4 linked regions of the Rattus norvegicus genome follow. The protein of the gene in region 3 interacts with the protein of the main gene of each other region in a pairwise test. Links are inferred from orthologs where the notes say so. Each region holds a gene or a part of one and is shown on either strand. Other genes may lie near its edges.

Region 1 (4,187 bases), on a different chromosome or scaffold from region 3:
TTTCAAAGTCAGTAGAGAAACTGTAATAACAGTTTATGAGGCTCTCCAAAATGAAGAGATAAATAAGTCTTGCTCAATATATGAGTCCTTTATTGCAATTCAGGCAAGCACCTGTAAGTCTCTCACCGGTAAGCAGCAGTAGTTAACTTGCTCTCAAGCAACGAATCAACTTTGTATTTTTTTAAAGCGCTCTAACAAGCTTGAATTATATCTGAATTCACTCACTTCAATCTGAAACAAAGAAAAAAATTAAATTAGCAGACCACAAAGTCAGGGGGAGAAATTGTTCCCTTTTAAAGAACTCCTCTGCAATGGTCATCTTCTCAAGAACCACTAATCGACATACTCAAACCAGATCACTACTTGACATAGGAAAGACATAGCGAAGAACTGCCTTAAAAACCCAACCTACGAAAAATCCAACCTCAAACATTTAAAATTGCAAGAACAAAGCAACTTAGGGGGAAAAAAAGGCAGGAAGATACTATTGATAAAATTCAAATTCATTCTCAAATAACAATCTGTTCTTCAATCTCCTAATGAATTCTCTCCAAGTCCTGCCCCCTCTAAATGTCATTACATTTAATTACATTAAAACTTGAAATATCACTCAATTTACCTCATGTACATCTAGATTTGAACAAGACAATTCACTAACATCTTTCTATTTCTGACAGCAACACAAAAACCTTTAAATGAAAAGACTTTTCAAATACGAAGTCTTCTTACCAGTTTCAATTACAGAAATCAATTTTTTTTTATTGAATTTTGTCCTGACCAAAATAATTGAAGCAGTCAAAAGATCTGTATGGAGCAGTCTACATATCAAAAATCTTCTGCTTGAAAAACTCTAAGATTCTCTTCAACTGGAGGGGGGGGGGCAAAGAAAAAAGAAAGCCCCAATACCAAAAGTTGAATGAAAGCTGTTAGTGTTGCCTTTTACTATAACACTTTTCAAAAAGTATGTCCTAATTTAAAATAAAGTTTAGGGGTTGGGGATTTAGCTCAGTGGTAGAGGGCTTGCGTAGCAAGCCCAAGGCCCTGGGTTCGATCCCCAGCTCCGAAAAAAAGAAAAGGAAAAATAAAAAAGTTTAAACGTACGTACGTACGTGTGTGTGTGTGTGTGTGTGTGTGTGTGTGTGTGTGTGTGTCCTATAGTAAAAGGGGAAAGAAAAACCAGAGGGCTAAACTTGTAGTTTTAATAAAATTCTCCCAAATCACCCTGAATAGCGAGTCTAATTAAGTTATTTTTAAGAAAGAGTTGGTCAACCTCCTCTACTTTAAATTGTTCCCCAAATGGAATTCTCAAAATTTGGCAAATAAAAAATTACTAAGGACCAGTATAAGCCCAACTCGTTCAGTTTTATTTTGTAACCCCCTTACATTATTTCACTGGTTCCCAAAACACTAGCTTAATTAGTGCTAGTTATCTTTGCCACACACCAAGTGTCCCAAACCCAAAATTTTCAAGTCAAAGGATATCTCGTTATATATCAACTTGCTCACAAATGCTGCTTATCACATAAAGCTGTTTATTTGTTCTGTTAATAGGCATTTTCTGTATTGACAGCATATGATCAACAGTATGAGGTACGTCAAACAGGAAGGCTTCCTATTTGTACAGCACTAAGAGGCTGAAGGGGGCAACCTCTGAATACTAACGGACACCATCAGTACTGTCAATCAAGCCCAGTAAGACCCAGTGCCTTAAACCCAGAGACTTCGATAACTGCTCTCTCCAGAAACAGATACCTGCACTGCAGTTTTATGTCTCAGTTGGGGAAATATTCGTCCTACCCCTTCCCAATTTAGATTTGCAAGTTATAGTCTTAAAACAAAACCACGAAGGAACGTAGACTTAGCTGGGAGGAGCCCCTGGCAGAGTTAATTACAGCACGGCCCAGACCGTGGTTAGCAATTGACAGTTTCACACCTAAAACAGTACCATAAGCTCCAACAAGGGCTTTTGTTTGCAAATACAGCGCGATTTCTCTAAGCCTCAGCAGGAAGTTGGAGTGATTGGGGTTTTTCTGAAGGAAAAGGGGGGCTATGGAAAAGGAAAAACCAAGCTAAGACTCGGAGTCCAGTAACCGTAGGGCAATAATTCCTCTCCCCCTCCCCCAACTACACTCTACAAATCCAGCTCCTTCAGATCAAAACGCAAAAGGGTTTTTTTCTGCCCTGCAATCTATCTGCGCCACAAGAGCCGGAACCAGCTCTGCGAGTGGGAAACAATAGGGACTCCCCTCAGAAGGCCCGGAAGAGAACCCCAAAAACTGGACCGCCTCCCCTTTCCTCTTACGCCGCTGAGTCTCCCCAAACCCTATGTTCCCACCAACCTGCAAGGCCTACTTGCAACCGAGCAGCTGCGGGTCCTCTCCTAGCCCAGTCTCCGGACAGCACAGCCCTGCCGCCCCCAACAGGGCTGCCTCGCACTCCCAACCTCACTCCGGAGTCCCGGCCGCCGCTCCGTCCCCGCTCCCGTCTACCACACCGCTCGCCCAGAGCACTCCACCGCTCCTCCTCCAGACCGGGCACACACCACATTCCTCGGTTCCACTCCTCTCCGCCGCCGCCGCTGCTCCTCTCAGCGGCCACCCGCCCGTCCTCCCGGGCCAGGCCTGGGCCTCGGGCTTCCGCCCCAAGCGCGCCCTGACTCCCGCCCGAGGGGGCTCCCCGCGACCCTCAGGGCCCTACCGACCCCGACCACACCGCCTCACCCCACGCCCCGCGGCTCGGGCCCGAGTCCTACCACCCAGGCCACTCCCGCTCCGCACCCTCGGTCCTTTATTGTTGACTCGAAGCTCCCAAAATGGCGGCGGCTCCTTCCTCCTCGGAAACCTCCGCCCGCCCCCACCCGGCCCCTCGCCGCTACGCCCGCCGCCCCGCCCCCGCCGCGCCGCTCGCCGCCCGCGCCGCCGCCGCCGCTGCCGTCCCGCGCTACCTCGGCCGTAGCCCGCTGTGCCGGCGCCCCGGATGTCGCCGCTGAGCGGAGCTGACTCTGCTGCTCTGCCCCCTCCCTCGCCCGCCGCTGTCGTCTCCCTCCCTCCTTCCCAGCCTCTCCGCATGGCGGCGGCTGCGGCTCCTCCTCCACACAAGATGGCGAGAGCTCCGCCGCTGCAGCCGCCGCGGCGTCACGGCTTCCTGGGCGCGGCGGGCGAGGGTCGGGAGAGACTCGTTACTGATGGGACCGAGCTCAGGGAAACACGGGGCTGTTTTCGGGAAGGACGGACGGACGGACAGACGGACGGACGGACGGACTGGAGAGCTTGCCTGCAGAGCTGAGGAGACCAGTGGGGAAATGAATGGTGGCCGGGGAGTGTCGTCCTTGCCTTCGTCCCTCCTGAGCTGGGCTGGCCGGGCCGGGCGGAGGGGACGCCTGCTGACTGCTGACCGGGGACGCGCTCGGAGGGCAGCCTGCGCCGGTCCGGAAGCTGACCTGGGGTGGCCGGGAGGCTGCTGCGAGGCCAGGGCGCACCTCCACCCAGGGACGTGCAGAAAAATTGGGCCTGAAGGGCCGAGGCTGTCGGCGAGGCAGCGGGGAAAGCGTGAACCGGGAGCCCGCCCTAGGTCGTGGGCTACCAAGCCCAGAGTGCAGGCGAGGTGACCCTTTGCTCCTGCCGGCAGTGGCACTCTTCTAGAAAGAAGGGCGGGTCGCCTCTACGAGGGAGGTCTCGCTGTGAAAATGGGAAACCAGTAGATTCTGCTGCCTGACCCTCACTGCAGACAGCTATCTGTGCATTTGTTTCTATGATTCTCAGATCCTGAGGTCTTATCCTTAACCTAGAAAGCAGTCTTGTTTCAAGTAAAACAAACATTTCTTGTGTGTTAAGTAAAAATCGAGCTGGGCCGAAGTGAAAAACCTGCGTCCTACGCTGCTGGAGGGCTGGAAATACTGACAATGGTCAAATCATTTGTGACAATACGACTCCATACTAGATCACTCGTTAAGGGGTCCTGAACAGTCAATACTCGTAGTCAGTGACTAGCAGCTTCCATATTTTTTACCGCTGCTTCCAACTTGAGACCAATCAGAGAAAGCCAAATACGCTCTCTAAGCCAATGACTCCCTGCTTCCAGCCCTTCTCCTGCTTTCTAGACAGCAACATCCAATCAGAGTAAGCCTGAAGCACCCCTCCCCAACTGCTGCGCTTTTCGTGTGTGTGTGTGTGTGTGTGTGTGTGTGT
Region 2 (4,242 bases), on a different chromosome or scaffold from region 3:
GGTAAATGGGTCCCAGGGAGCACGCATTCCTTGTTCCAAAAACCCCAGTTCTCAAACTTTAGAACCCTTACCTCCCCCAGGAGCAGACTGTCCCAATTCTCAGAGGTGAAGGGGAGGATCTCTCGGTCAAAATCGAAATATTTCTTCTTACAGCAAACGCTGAGATGGTAGAGAACAAGATGGGCCACATCCACCCTGGAGGAGCATGAGATTGTCAACAGCAGCAGCATTATGGAGTCAGGAGTCATAGAGTAAAATGGCGGAGAGCACCATCCTTCTCACCAGCGAAGCTGTAACCTCCGTACTTTCTCAGGGCCGCCCCGGCACACACAGCATTCAAATTCATAGAATCTGTATATGGGTCAGGACAGAGGGACCTCACTCAACCCTCCAGTACGAGCTGCAGAGGGCTAACTAGTCAGTCGGGAGCGCGGGAGAGAGAGCACCCCAGGCTCCTGTGCAGTCTCCCTGGATCTCACCTGTCTCCGTAAAGGAGGGGCTTGCTCAGACACTGGGTGCAGGCCTCATGGAACCACTGGAGGCAGCTCCGGCATTGCAGCATTTTCAGGTTCCACCTCAAGGGGAAGACAGCGCCATGGCCCTCAGCCTTCTTCAAACCACAGGGCCCCCCCTCACCCTCTTCGCTCCCCTCTGTCCTGGGCTCTACCACCACAAAACACCCATGCCGTGGCTGGCCCTGCTCTTCCTTCACTTACTCCCCCGGGCCCCCGCAGTAACAGTAGCTCTGCTGCCTGTTGCTCAGATGTCCGGCGTCCCAGTCCAGCCCTTTCAGACCGTACGGCAGGGAGAGTTTCATGCCCAGCATGGCCCGGGCATAGGGACCCTTCTTCAGGGCACCTCCCCTCTGCAGAGGAACAGAGGGAAGCCTCAGAGGGCAGGGAAGGAGGAGAGGTCACGGGAGGCTCCCACACAAGCAGGCAGAGAGGTGCCTTTACCTTTGTGGCAATCGCAAAGACACACTGGCGGCAGACCCAGGAGCTGCCCTCTCCTTCTCCAGGGGCTGGGGCCCTGGGGACGTGACAGTCCTGGTGATAGGCTGAATGAGGAGAGAAGGCCACAGAGTGGCCTTTAAGTCCTGACCAGGGCATTTAAGACCGGTCCCGCTGGCAGGTCTCATCCTGACACTCAAGTTGAGTCAACGGGCTTCTAGCAGTTGAGGACCTTGCCCAAGGAAGCTTGGTTAAGAAATGTGAGCGAGCTACGGTAGGCCCTCAGCCTTGTCACCTGCATCCACGCTCCCTCTCCCTGTACTGAGATGAGGTGACAGGGTGAGGACTGGCCCAGGCAGGAGACGTGCGTGACTCACGCTATGAGGGAGGGTAACCCTTCTAGTGGTAACCCAGAAGACCCAGGGCAAACTGCACCCCCTAAACATCCCGCCCTCTCACCATGGCGACACTTCTCACAGCTGACCAGCCGGTTCCCAGGGACCACGGTCTCAGAGCGACACACACAACAGAGGAGCTCCTCACCAGGAAGGGCGGCTGTGAGAGAACAAAGTGTCAGGAGGCCCACTTCAACCCAGCGTCCCCATCGGCTCCAGCTGCTGCAGAGGGAAGCTGTGCTTTGAAGGGTCTCACCTGGGCTGATGTCCTTCCATAGAACTAGAAACTGGGAATCATCCTCAAACTGGACCAGACACACCTCCCGCGCACTGTCCACCTGGAGTGGATGACCAAGACCGTAAAGTGGGGGCAGGAATCAGACCGGCCTGGGAAGGCAGGGGATCAGAGGTGGGCCTCACCTTTTTGATGGTGCCCAAGTACAGGAGCCCATCAGTCCATCTTGCCAGCACATCTTGACCTTCCCAAAGCCGAGGTCTGGGGCCTGAGGTGGGAGCAGGGGAGGCTGGGTCCCAAAGAGAGGGAGCACCCAAACGGCTCAGCCGGGGGAGCTGCGCCATTGCATCCTGGGGTGGGCTATTCTGAAACAGGATGGTTAGAGTTTATGAGCGCTGAGAAAGTGTCCCTGTGTGGGTTGTTTTCTGTTACGGATGAAGAAACCCTGACCCTGACCAGGAATCTCCAACCCCAGTCTCGTAATCCTTTAGAACCCCGAGGAGGCAGGTCGTTCTGGTCAGCTTCTCTACTCCACTCCTTTCCATCTCCCCTGCCTAGCTCCGTAGTATCCCAGCTCCTCCGGACCTCCGGTGGAAAAGATGTTTGCAGAATCAAGGTTACCACTTAGTTTCACCTTTCCCAGCTGTGTAGAGGTAGCCTAACTGGGGCAATCTGTTGCCCGGAGATGTTTTGGGAGCTTTTCTAAAGACGTTAAAGGAGTAGAAACAGCTGCCTCCCCAGGCTTGTGTGTCTTATTTAGAGCCACCATCCTGGTGCCAGGTTATGTTAGGTCACCCTCAAATTTGGGGCTCCTTGACCTGGGATTAGATAACTTCCCTGAGTGCCCCAGGAGGGGGGCGTGTCCCTGTCCAAGTCTCTACTCCCCTACACTGCCAGTCCACGGAGGGACTTGAGTCGCCCCAGCACAGATCCCAAACTGGGACCAGGAGGCTCCCCCAGCCCTTCCTGCGCACCGACCCCCGGTTCCCTGCCCCCCCCCCTCCGGGCCTCCCGCCTTCTCCTTACCGGTGACAGCTGGGGCAGCTGGAAGCCAGGTAGGGGCAGACCCAAGAGATCTGGGTGAGTCCCCGGTGCGGGAAGACTGAGTGTGAGCGCCGAGGGGCGTGCAGGTGGAGGCCAGGGGGGTCCCCGGGCCCAGCCCCTCCGTCCTGGCCGCTCTGGGGCGTATGACGCAGCAGCCAAAGCAGCAGCAGCGGCAGGAGGAGTCGACAGAAGGAGGGAGGAGAGTGGAGGGTGGGGAGCACCAGTGGGAGGAGACGACGGAGGGGCGGGTAGGCAGCACCTCCCTCACCTCCAGTAGGCCCGGAGGGCGCTGCGCTATTGGAGGCGCGGCCGGTCGGGGAGGACGAGGAAATCCCTGTAGCCCCCTTTTCGGATAGGAGGCTTGCTCTGAGGGCAGCAGGAAATAACCTTCTTGGCAGCTAGCCTGCAGGTCAGGGCCGGGCCCCGCCCCATGCCACATCCGTTAGTTGCCCCGCCCCCGTGGCCACTCCAAGCTCCGCCTCCGCACGCGGAACCGCCCTCCTCATTCACGCTTTCTGTTGCCCCGCCCTTCTGCGCACGCGTAGCCCCGCCCGCGCGCCGCACCTGGGCACACAGCCACTCCTCCCGCGGCGAGCACTGGCATGGCCGTGCTCCTCTAGGAGGGAAAGGACCAGAGGCTACTTGGAACTAGTACTGGGGCGGTGACGCGCCCACACCAGCCAATGGGCACTAGGCGGCACGGACCGAACCATGGTTCGAACCGGTGGGCAGGGGAAGTGAGAGATTTAGTTGGTCACAGAGGGCCCGGTGTGGGCACTATGGGCACAACTCCCTGAGCTGAAGGACAGAGGAGAGGCACCAGGGCAGGCAGCAAAGTTAGTGTGTCCCTCCAAGTGAAAGCCCATAGCCTCCCTCACTCTGCAAAACAGGTCAAAATGGACATTTCTACATCTTACGGTATTTACTCACAATACTTCATCTGGCAGCTACCAATATTAATAAAACCATTAAGAGCTGTAACAGGGTCTGGAAAGATGGCTCAGTGGTTAAGAGCACTTACTGATCAGACCCCACATCGATGGTCAAAACTGTCCATAATTCCAGTTCCAGAGGCCCCGAAGCCTCTTCTGAACTTCAAGGAGCAGGAGACATGCACATGGTGCACATGTATATACTCAGGCTAAACAACTGTACACACACAATTTTTTAAATCTAAGATTAAGAAAAAAATTAACCTACACCAAATTTTCTTTATTTGATAGTTGGGTACATAATGTTGTCCACCCAATAAAATCATGTCTCAGCCCCGCCCCACCCCCGTGTTATACATATACACAAAACAGACACGCACACCCGCTTGCACAGGAGCCAGGCTCTGCATCCATCTTCATTTCTTATTAGCCTGAGCAGTGCCGATCACGCACTGGTTCACCTGTGGATGGACCAGTGAATAGGGTTACACGAGATCACTGCTTACAATCCGAAGTCTCCCATTCTGCCCCAATGCTGGGCCCACTGTCTGACTCCCTGAAATAAGGACTACGGCAGCAGGCTCGGCCTGACCCCCTGGAGGGACAGTGGTGCTGTGTCCACTAACCTGGAGGAGACCAGCAGTCTGAAAAGATGATAGAGATATGCCCGCTGGTCATATGTCAGC
Region 3 (4,061 bases):
GGAAAGCCATGTCCTCTGTATCTCTGTTCAACTGGCTTCTTGTTGCAGCCCACTTGGCTTTAAGAAGCTATGGCTCGTGCCCATGAGAACCAGCCTAGCATACAGCCATGCCCCCAGGTTTGCCCTAGTGTATTTAGCAGGCTTCTCACTAGGATCAAGGGGATGCAGTGCCTTGGACACAGCACGAGGACACAGTCCCCACCCTCCCTGCTGACTGGCAGGTGGAGACACTCGCCCGTCTTACACACGTGCAGGCTGCAAACACCGGCTAAACTGCAAGGGCTGTGCATCAGGCTCTCACCTGAGGGAGTGGCAGAGACCGTATCTTCCTGTTCTTCCCGTTGTTCCTGTTAGGGAGCCACCAATGCCTTAAGTAAACAAAGCAGAGAGACTGCCAACCCGCCTGAGCCCTGAGGACAGATGGACTTACCCAGGATCCAAGCAAGGGGGTGTAGGCCTGGATTCTTTCCACAAAGTCCCTTCCTTTTGACCGTAGCAGGAACTGGCACCTGGAGAAGAGAGCTCAGAAGGCAGGACTGGTCTCTCAGAGCCCCACTGTCACATTCGAGCCCTGAAAGCCTTTGGGATTAGGTCATGCCTTCTGTTCCCATGGAACCCACTACTTCCTGTGACAGGTAGTCAGGGCTGTATCCCCCATGGCACCTGCTAGCAAGGCTATCCTGGAGATGGGCTCTGAATACCTAGGTGAGCACCTAGAAAAGGATAGCGACAGGGAAGTACCTACCCTAGCAGCCCACCTAGAGAGGGCTCTGTGAAGAGTGAGGTGTGAAGAGATATCTCAGGACCATGGGAGATGGGGAGGCTGTACAGAGTTCTTTGGGGGCCCTTCTCATTAGCCAGACCCACAGCAGCCCACAGGGCCCTTACCTGGGGAACCATCGTGCATGCTCTGTCCAGGGGTCGTCTCCACGTTCCCAGCTCTGTAGACCCCCGTAGCAGAAGAAACATCTCACCTTGTCCTGCTGGCCTGGGTATGGCAGAGACACACAGCTGGTAGCCCCACCTAGCTGACAGTTCCAGGGTGTCCCTCCATGACCATCAGAGCTTGGGCATGCGGGACTGGAATCTGCCAGTAGGTTAACAAGAAGGGAACAAGGCACATGGACACCTCTCTTGTCTCAAAGGTGAATAAAGACAATGGCCCTGGGGCATGTGTCGGGATGGCCTGAGAATATTCCGGAAAGGTCGAGCTAGCATTTGTGTTGTTCTCAGAGCGTGTGGGTAGGGTTGAGCCAAAGGCTTGGAGCATCTGCAGCCTGGGAGTGCCAGGGCCTCCGAGGAGGACTCCTAGTTACAGGATAAGGAGGTGACCCCTTCCCTACCAGTTTGCAGACAGATTTTGGTTTTAGTGGCTCAGGCCTCAATCATCTCTGCTCTGTGCCCCTCCCCCAGTCATAGGAAAATGTGCCCTTCGTGACCTTGAGCAGAAGTTCCAAATAGGATTGCTTACAGGCAATGTCCCACAGAAGGCATCCATGGTCCACAAAATCCCCCTGACATCTTTTGGCCCCAAGGATGCTCCGTTTTAAAGGGGGCTCCCACCATTCCAGACATTGACCTTTCCTAACCAGTGTCTGATTCTCCTAAATCAGTATGGACTCTTGACTGGCCAGTGCAAGGAAAACAGCTGTTTCCTCCCCTGCTGCTGCCACAGGTGAACAATTTCTCTGGTTATGCTCATACCTACAAAGCCCCTCAGCGGGTCTCACTGACTCACTTCCCCTCAGCCAGGAAGACAGCCTGAAATCCTACTGTGAGTGAAGGGCAGACCAAGCTCAAGGAATGCTCTAAATTTATAACTAGAAGAGGTACTCAAAGGATTTATCTGGAGTTGGTCCCTGCACTAGCCTGGTACTTGGGAAGCCTGGAGGATTACCTACAAGATGAGCACTGGATGGTACAAGCTGACCCCTGCCCCGTAGAATAGATTCTGGCTCTGTGGCTTTGGGTCAAGGGATGAAAGGGATTAATCAGCTCTATAACCAAGCCTGAAAGGCACTGATGACTGTGGGGATCCCCGAGGAGTGTGGGAAATCCTCAGAACCATGTAAGCCAGGCAAAACCACCAGGTCAGTAGACTCCGCATGCGTAAGGGCCCTCAGAACAAGGCCAGCATAAGCCCAGGATTTCATAGCAGCCTTGAGTGGGGTAGACCCCAAGCCCTGGCCGGGCAAGGGTGACAGAAGTACCTTTCATTAGTCCTCCCTCAGGGCAGGAATGGACAAAACCATTTGCCTGGAAGAGCGCTAAGTAGCATCCAGACCACAGCAAAAAAGACCCCAACATTTACCTGTGTGGAAGAAGCCGGCAGCAGCCAATGGCTCAGGCTGAATCCCTGCAGTAGATGGCCAGTCGTAGAAGGAGGCTAAGCGGAGATCCTCTGAGTCCATCTCTGGGAAGGCAGGCTCCCCGACGAAGGTAGCCCCAGAGGATTCTTCCTCTTCTGACAGGGGGCGCAACTGGCCTAAGATCTGCCCATCTAGGCAGTCCTGGCCCAGGACACGGTTACAAGGACAGTGGGGTCTATGCTGTTCCTGTGTGGGGCCATTGCTCTCTTCCCTGTGGCTTAGTTCTGGGCCACAGAAGGAGTCCCTGTCCTTACTCTCAGGCCCCATGGGTAGGACAGCAGCTCGGAGCAAGCCTGCAGGCGAGAACATCACCAGCCCTGGAATGTGCCTGGTGACTTACCTCTCCAGCTCCTGCCTCTAGTCCTTTCTAGAAGCTGTGGAGGCTCCTGCTTCTAACTGTAAGCATATGCTGCTAGATGTTCAGATGCAGTGGTGTTCAGGGATGTGCCAGTTTCTGAAAGAGGCCAGAGTGGCAGCCACGTGCTGTCTGCAGCATGTCATGGGGCCTCCTGGCAGGCACATAACAAAGGCAGTACTCTACCAGGCAAAAAGCATCTCTCAATAGGGGGAGGGACCAAGCTTGGGACCTCTCCAATGGAATCCCCTAAGCCTCAGGAAGCAGGTCGTGAACACGGACAAAGTGGAGGAGAGGGACTCTAGCCACTCAGGGTCCAGAGTGAGTAGAGAGAGACCCAGACGAGGACCTGCAAGGTAGGAAGCTAGGTTGTCCAGAACAGAATGCAACCCCACCATTCCTTCCATACCAAGCCTGTGCTGATGTTCAGGGATGACCTCATCACTGGCTTATCTTGTCCCTAGCACTTAGGAGATTCCTGCTTGGCTCAGCCCTGAGTCAGAGTTAGTCCACCTATCTGGTCACAGGTTGCTCTTTTTCTGTCTAGACAGTCTACAGTCAAATCAAAGGTGGGGTATGCCCTGGCCTTTGTCTGGAGGAGCTCAAGGTTTGGATTGTGTTTGTTCTGGGCCAGACATTTCCACTTGCATTGTGACATGGAAAATCGCATCCCTAAATGAGCTCTGCCCCAGAACCAGATCTTCTCTTCACTAACCAGCCCCAGGTGAGGGATTCCATTGATGCAGAAAAACAGGGAACAGAGAGGAGGGTCATTACCCCAGAGACGCCATAGCTACAGGTTGGGACCCCTGGAAGAGGCAGAGAAGACCCAGGGGCCAGCTCTGCCCTGGCTTGCACTGTAACCAGGTTTTCGCACAAACCTTTACCCTTAAGTAGCTCTGCATGGATTGTGAAGCTTTTAGTATTGTGAGTTTTTAATAATATCTTTATTAATTCCTTGAAAATTTCAGGCAAAACTGGGCACGGTGCTTCCCAGCACTCCAAGGCAGAGGCAGGCAGAGCTCTGAGTTTGAGTCCAGCTTTTCCAGAGCTAGTTCCAGAATACAAAGGGGATATCCTGTCTCAAAAAAAAAAAAGAATTCCACTCCAACTTCATGCCCTTTTTCTTTTTTCTTTTTAAATGTATAATTAATTGAGTCCAATTTGTGGTGTCCGTACACATATGGGTGTGGGGACATCCACGGGAGCATGGTCAACCTACCAGGGGCCACAACCTTAAAGAAAACTGACCCCCCCCTCTTCCAGAAGCTTCCAACTGTCAATAGTCCTTTAGTTAGAGGTTGGGTCTTGTGAGACATTGTGAGGTAGGATGGTGG
Region 4 (4,255 bases), on a different chromosome or scaffold from region 3:
ATCGGAAGAGTCCACGTCTCTCCTGTGAGCGTTCATTAAGACAAACGTTACATTTAAATCCTGAATCTCAACCGGGGCAGTACCCAGAGTCACACCCCAGTAACCTCAATGCACCCACCTGCCAAACATTCTCTTGATACTCACAGACATCATGAGCTCTGCCAGAACCAATGTCCACCGGCCTGGGTGTTTCTGGTGTGAGAACCTCTGGCCTGAGCCGAGTAGGCCAGAGCTCTTCCGGCCCCAGCACCACTGGGGTGAGGTTTCCCAAGGCAGGCTGAGATGGGTCCAGCTTCACTACTTTCTGCTCCTTTGATTTGAGTCCCATTGGTCCCAGGACCACAGGCACCAGGTGGTCTAGGGGTGTAACAGCTTCTGGATCCTGCTTGGCTGCTTGCCCACTGCTTTGCAAGAATGAAGCCAGAGAGCCTTGGCCTGTGTCCTCTAAGCAGGAGATGAAGCGAGGAAGGGCCTGCCTCCCTCGAGTCTCAAGATCTATGACCAGCTGCCTGGCCTGATCCCGCCGAGACCCAGAGCCTGCCCGCTGTTTGGATAGAAAACCAGACACTCATTATCCAGTGACATCTACAGTCACCCTACCTCCCGCTTCTCACCTAGCCTCTACCTTGTGAGTGCCGGGACTGCAGGTATGTACCACCACCCCTGGAACAAGTCTCTCCTTTCAAACAGTCTGCCATTCCCAATACTAGGTCCGACACTGCTCTGACCACACTTAGCTGGAGAAGGACAGAGGCTGCTGGTGCCTCCCCGCGCAGTTTGGCTTTTGATCCCCCTTAATATGCCTGTGGTAGATAGACAGAAACTAATCTAGCAGTGTACTGAGTTCATGTCCCTCTGCAGTCTTTGCTTGTCAATGACACCTACTGTGTGTTTGTCCAGCTCTGTGCTAAGTGCTAATTAGCCCTACTAAAAGTAGCAAAATGGTGGTCAGTAGTTTGGACGAGGTACTTCAAACTTTCTAAACTTGTTCCTAACATTAAAATAAGAGAATTAAATGTAGAATTCAAGATCTCCAACATCTCTGTTTTTGGAGGAAAAGAAGTTTCTGTTGGGGGGGGGGGACTTTCATATTTGTGTGGGGGAAGGAAAAGTTCTCAAGTAGCCAAGATTGGCCTTCAAGTTCCTTCATAGCTGAGGATGACCTTTGAACTTCTGCCTCTCCTGACTCCAGAGTCACCAGGCCTGGTTTTATAGGGCTAGGGGTTAGACTCAGGGATTCACGAATACTAGACATGCACTGTACCAAATAAACTGTATGTCTAGCTTCTTGCTTTGGTTTTGCTTTTAAACATTTACTATGTATGTATGTATGTAGGTAGGTAGGTAGGTATATGTGTGTGTATCTAGATGTATATGTGCCAACTGTGTGTGCCTGGTGCCCAAGGAGGCCAGAAGAGTGTGTCAGATCCCAGGGACTACAGTTATAGTTGTGAGCCACCATGTGGGTGCTGAAAACTGAAATCAAAGCTCTTAACAACTGAGGCAGCTCTCCAGCCCTTGGTTTTGGTTTCCAGAGACTCGATCTCAAACTCTGTATGTAGCCAAGGATCCCCTCCAACACCTGATCCTCCTGCCTCTACCTCCTGAGGGCTGGGATTCCAGAGGAACAAACCATTCCTTTCAAACAGCCTGCCACTGCCAACACTAGGTCGGACACTGCTCTGACCACACTTAGCTGGAGAAGGAAATACGACAGAGGCCGCTGGTGCCTCCCTGCACAGTTCGGCTTCTGATCCTCCTTAATATGCCTTCTGGAAGACTAGGGCTTTCCCTTCAAACCACTTTCCTTGGCCAGCATGGGCCCCTCCGAAAGTGTTCCTGAGACTACTTTTGTTATTATCTGGTAGTTAACCCCATGACTCTACACCACTTTCTTCTATTTTCCTTCACTAGACCAGACTAGGTTCCAATCCAGATGCTGGAGACAGCTTTCTAGACAGTTCCCCAGGGCCTGACACTCATATCCTCTCAAAAAGAAATATTCCCTTTTCAGACTTGCAGTGAGGCATCAACTGGAGCAAAGAAGCTCAAATGTATTTTTTTTAAAAATCAAATGTTTGATTGTATTCTTCGGTGGTACCTGTATCAATGTCCGTCTTTTCTGAAATCCTTTATAAAGCATGCACTTGGATAAAAGCCCAGCTAAAAAAAAAGACATGGGTCCTGGGGCTGTGGCCCCACAGAAGTGCTTCACCTTGGTTATCTCATTCATCCTAGAACAGGATGACACCGTTGCATTTCACAGCCCAGGAAACTGAGGCTCAAAGACGGCAAGTGACAAGTACAATGAGCCAGTATAAACCTAAAGTGGGTGTTTAGGACCCTTCTACAGAGAGGCTAAACTACTAACAAGGTGTGGGTTACAGTGGCATTAGCGAGCACTCCACAAAAGAGGTGCTTGGGTTCTTCTGAAGGATTAAAAGAGCTGGATTGTGGAAGGTTTTAAAAATGGAGTTCCCACACCATGGTTTCCCAGGGCCTGGGTTGCACACCGTGCAAAGCGGGAGAAAAGGGCGGGAGCTCCGTAGCGGTGGCTTCAGTGAACCTCTCTGCGACCTCCCAGTCCCTACCGGCGCCGTGGGAAAAGCGGCGGACACAAGGGAGCGGGGGAGCACCTGAATATCCTCGATCATGTCGCGCGTGAAGAGCTCACGACTCAGCAGAGCGTCCCACAGCTCCGCGACTTGCAGTTCGCGCACAAGGCGTACCCTGCATCGCCGCAGGAGTTGCCGGTCAGCCTCCTCCATGGCTAGCGGATTGCTGGACCCCTGGTTCCGTCCGCTTCCGGGCCTCGGGTCCCGCCCCGGCACCCACGCCCCGCCCCCACATAGCTCCTCTAGGGATCACGCTCCGACCAGTGGTCACCGCCCCAAGGCCGGTCCCTCAAGCTCACTCGGCTCCACCTCCGCAGCCACCTCAGCTCCGAAGGCCCCGTCACCGCTTCACCAGTCCTCCCACCTCTCTCACTCCCCCCACGTCCCCCCTTCCCCCCACCCCCACCCCCCGCGCTCTCAGGCCACGCCCCTTCGCCACGCCCCAAGATGTCCTTGCTTCGTTCCGCCTGCTGGCGCTGCACGCAAGCCCCGCCCCGTCACACGCCTCATATAAGACTCGCTCTTCCTTGCCTCATAGACCAGCACTCCGGCCCTATGGAGTTCCTTCGCTCCGCCCCGTGGCCCGCCCCCTTCTCTGCTTTTGCCTTTGTCCCCGCCTCCAGGACCCGCCCCCATCTTGCTATTCCAACTCTCTCCTAGTCCGGCACTCAGGCCTCACCCCACCTCTTTCCCTGCAGCGCTCTCTCCTCACGCCCCTCCCTCGCCCAGCTCTCGCCCGCCTCTAACAGCGGCCAAACGTAACGTTGCTCCGCCCCCCATGCGACCCACGTGACTTTCCATGCGGCCTTCTCCTCCCACACTCTCCCCCAGGGCGCCCCTAGGGTTCCAAACCCCAGGTTTGCCTTGCTACCTTCCGCCCATTTGCTGGTTCCGCTTAGCAGCGATTGTTCTAACAAAGTTCACTGGTGACCCTATTTCTACAGATGCTCAAAGGGTCGCGAGAGGAAAAGGAAGAAACCATGTCTAGACGTCTTTCAAGTCCTTTGCGGGCTGTGGCTTTCTTCTAACGCCCTCCTCCGTTGCGGCTAGTAAAACCTCGCCTCCTGCTTTTTCAGGCTATCCTGCCTCAGCAAACTAAGCCCACAGACTTCCATCTCGCTCTCTTCTCTTTCCCTCCTCAGCACCTCCCACATAGAAACTGCCAGGAATCTAGTCCTCTGTTCTCTCAGTTTTGTACCACTCATTTCCACGACTTAAAAAGTAACTGAACAAGGCTGGAGAGATGGTTCAGTGGTTAAGAGCACTGGCTGCTCTTCCAGAGGTCCTGAATTCATATCCCAGCAACCACATGGTGGCTCACAGCCATCTATAATGGAAGGTGATTCCCTCTTTTGGTGTGCATGAAGATTCCTATATACATTAAGTAAATAAATCATTTTTAAAAAATAATTGAGCATCGTGCTAGCCACTTACGGTGTTGTCCCAGCTAGCCATGTTATTATCCCTGACATATTCCCGATAATAGTTATTCCTTGCTGACAGCTGTGGACATGTGTTAGGGATCTCACAGCTTGACCCCCAACAGAGGCATCTGAGATTCAAACCCGAACTGGGATAGACCCTTAGCCAAGAATCCACCATGGAATATGTCAAAAGATGATATTACACTCGCTTCCCGA

The links. The genes of interacting proteins can lie anywhere in the genome.
Region 1: the proteins of Birc7 (region 3) and Ddx6 interact in a two-hybrid assay, tested with the Homo sapiens proteins (3 studies listed by BioGRID and IntAct). The two-hybrid records come from large-scale screens. The link is inferred for Rattus norvegicus from reciprocal best matches to the Homo sapiens genes BIRC7 and DDX6.
Region 2: the proteins of Birc7 (region 3) and Phf1 interact in binary tests that used the Homo sapiens proteins (3 or more experiments, as listed by UniProt). The two-hybrid records come from large-scale screens. The link is inferred for Rattus norvegicus from reciprocal best matches to the Homo sapiens genes BIRC7 and PHF1.
Region 4: the proteins of Birc7 (region 3) and Casp9 interact in binary tests that used the Homo sapiens proteins (3 or more experiments, as listed by UniProt). The two-hybrid records come from large-scale screens. The link is inferred for Rattus norvegicus from reciprocal best matches to the Homo sapiens genes BIRC7 and CASP9.

What each region holds. Positions count from the first base shown.
Region 1 is NC_086026.1:53,827,370-53,831,556, reverse strand, and holds the start of Ddx6 (probable ATP-dependent RNA helicase DDX6), read right to left. Parts: upstream 2,809-4,187; 5' UTR 2,721-2,808; intron 2,682-2,720; exon of another isoform or gene 2,543-2,681; intron 2,480-2,542; exon of another isoform or gene 2,340-2,479; intron 232-2,339; 5' UTR 1-231.
Region 2 is NC_086038.1:5,018,541-5,022,782, reverse strand, and holds the start of Phf1 (PHD finger protein 1), read right to left. Parts: upstream 2,809-4,242; 5' UTR 2,607-2,808; intron 1,946-2,606; coding exon of another isoform or gene 1,925-1,945; coding exon 1,766-1,924; intron 1,684-1,765; coding exon 1,602-1,683; intron 1,506-1,601; coding exon 1,410-1,505; intron 1,058-1,409; coding exon 957-1,057; intron 866-956; coding exon 717-865; intron 576-716; coding exon 480-575; intron 352-479; coding exon 283-351; intron 196-282; coding exon 72-195; intron 1-71. Other genes in the region: kinesin-like protein KIFC1, read right to left, coding at 3,973-4,017. UniProt on the Homo sapiens protein: Polycomb group (PcG) that specifically binds histone H3 trimethylated at 'Lys-36' (H3K36me3) and recruits the PRC2 complex. Involved in DNA damage response and is recruited at double-strand breaks (DSBs).
Region 3 is NC_086021.1:188,424,133-188,428,193, reverse strand, and holds the start of Birc7 (baculoviral IAP repeat-containing protein 7), read right to left. Parts: upstream 2,803-4,061; 5' UTR 2,679-2,802; coding exon 2,312-2,678; intron 989-2,311; coding exon 889-988; intron 510-888; coding exon 431-509; intron 348-430; coding exon 302-347; intron 1-301.
Region 4 is NC_086023.1:159,390,627-159,394,881, reverse strand, and holds the start of Casp9 (caspase-9), read right to left. Parts: upstream 2,809-4,255; 5' UTR 2,769-2,808; coding exon 2,637-2,768; intron 545-2,636; coding exon 145-544; intron 1-144. UniProt on the Homo sapiens protein: Involved in the activation cascade of caspases responsible for apoptosis execution. Binding of caspase-9 to Apaf-1 leads to activation of the protease which then cleaves and activates effector caspases caspase-3 (CASP3) or caspase-7 (CASP7).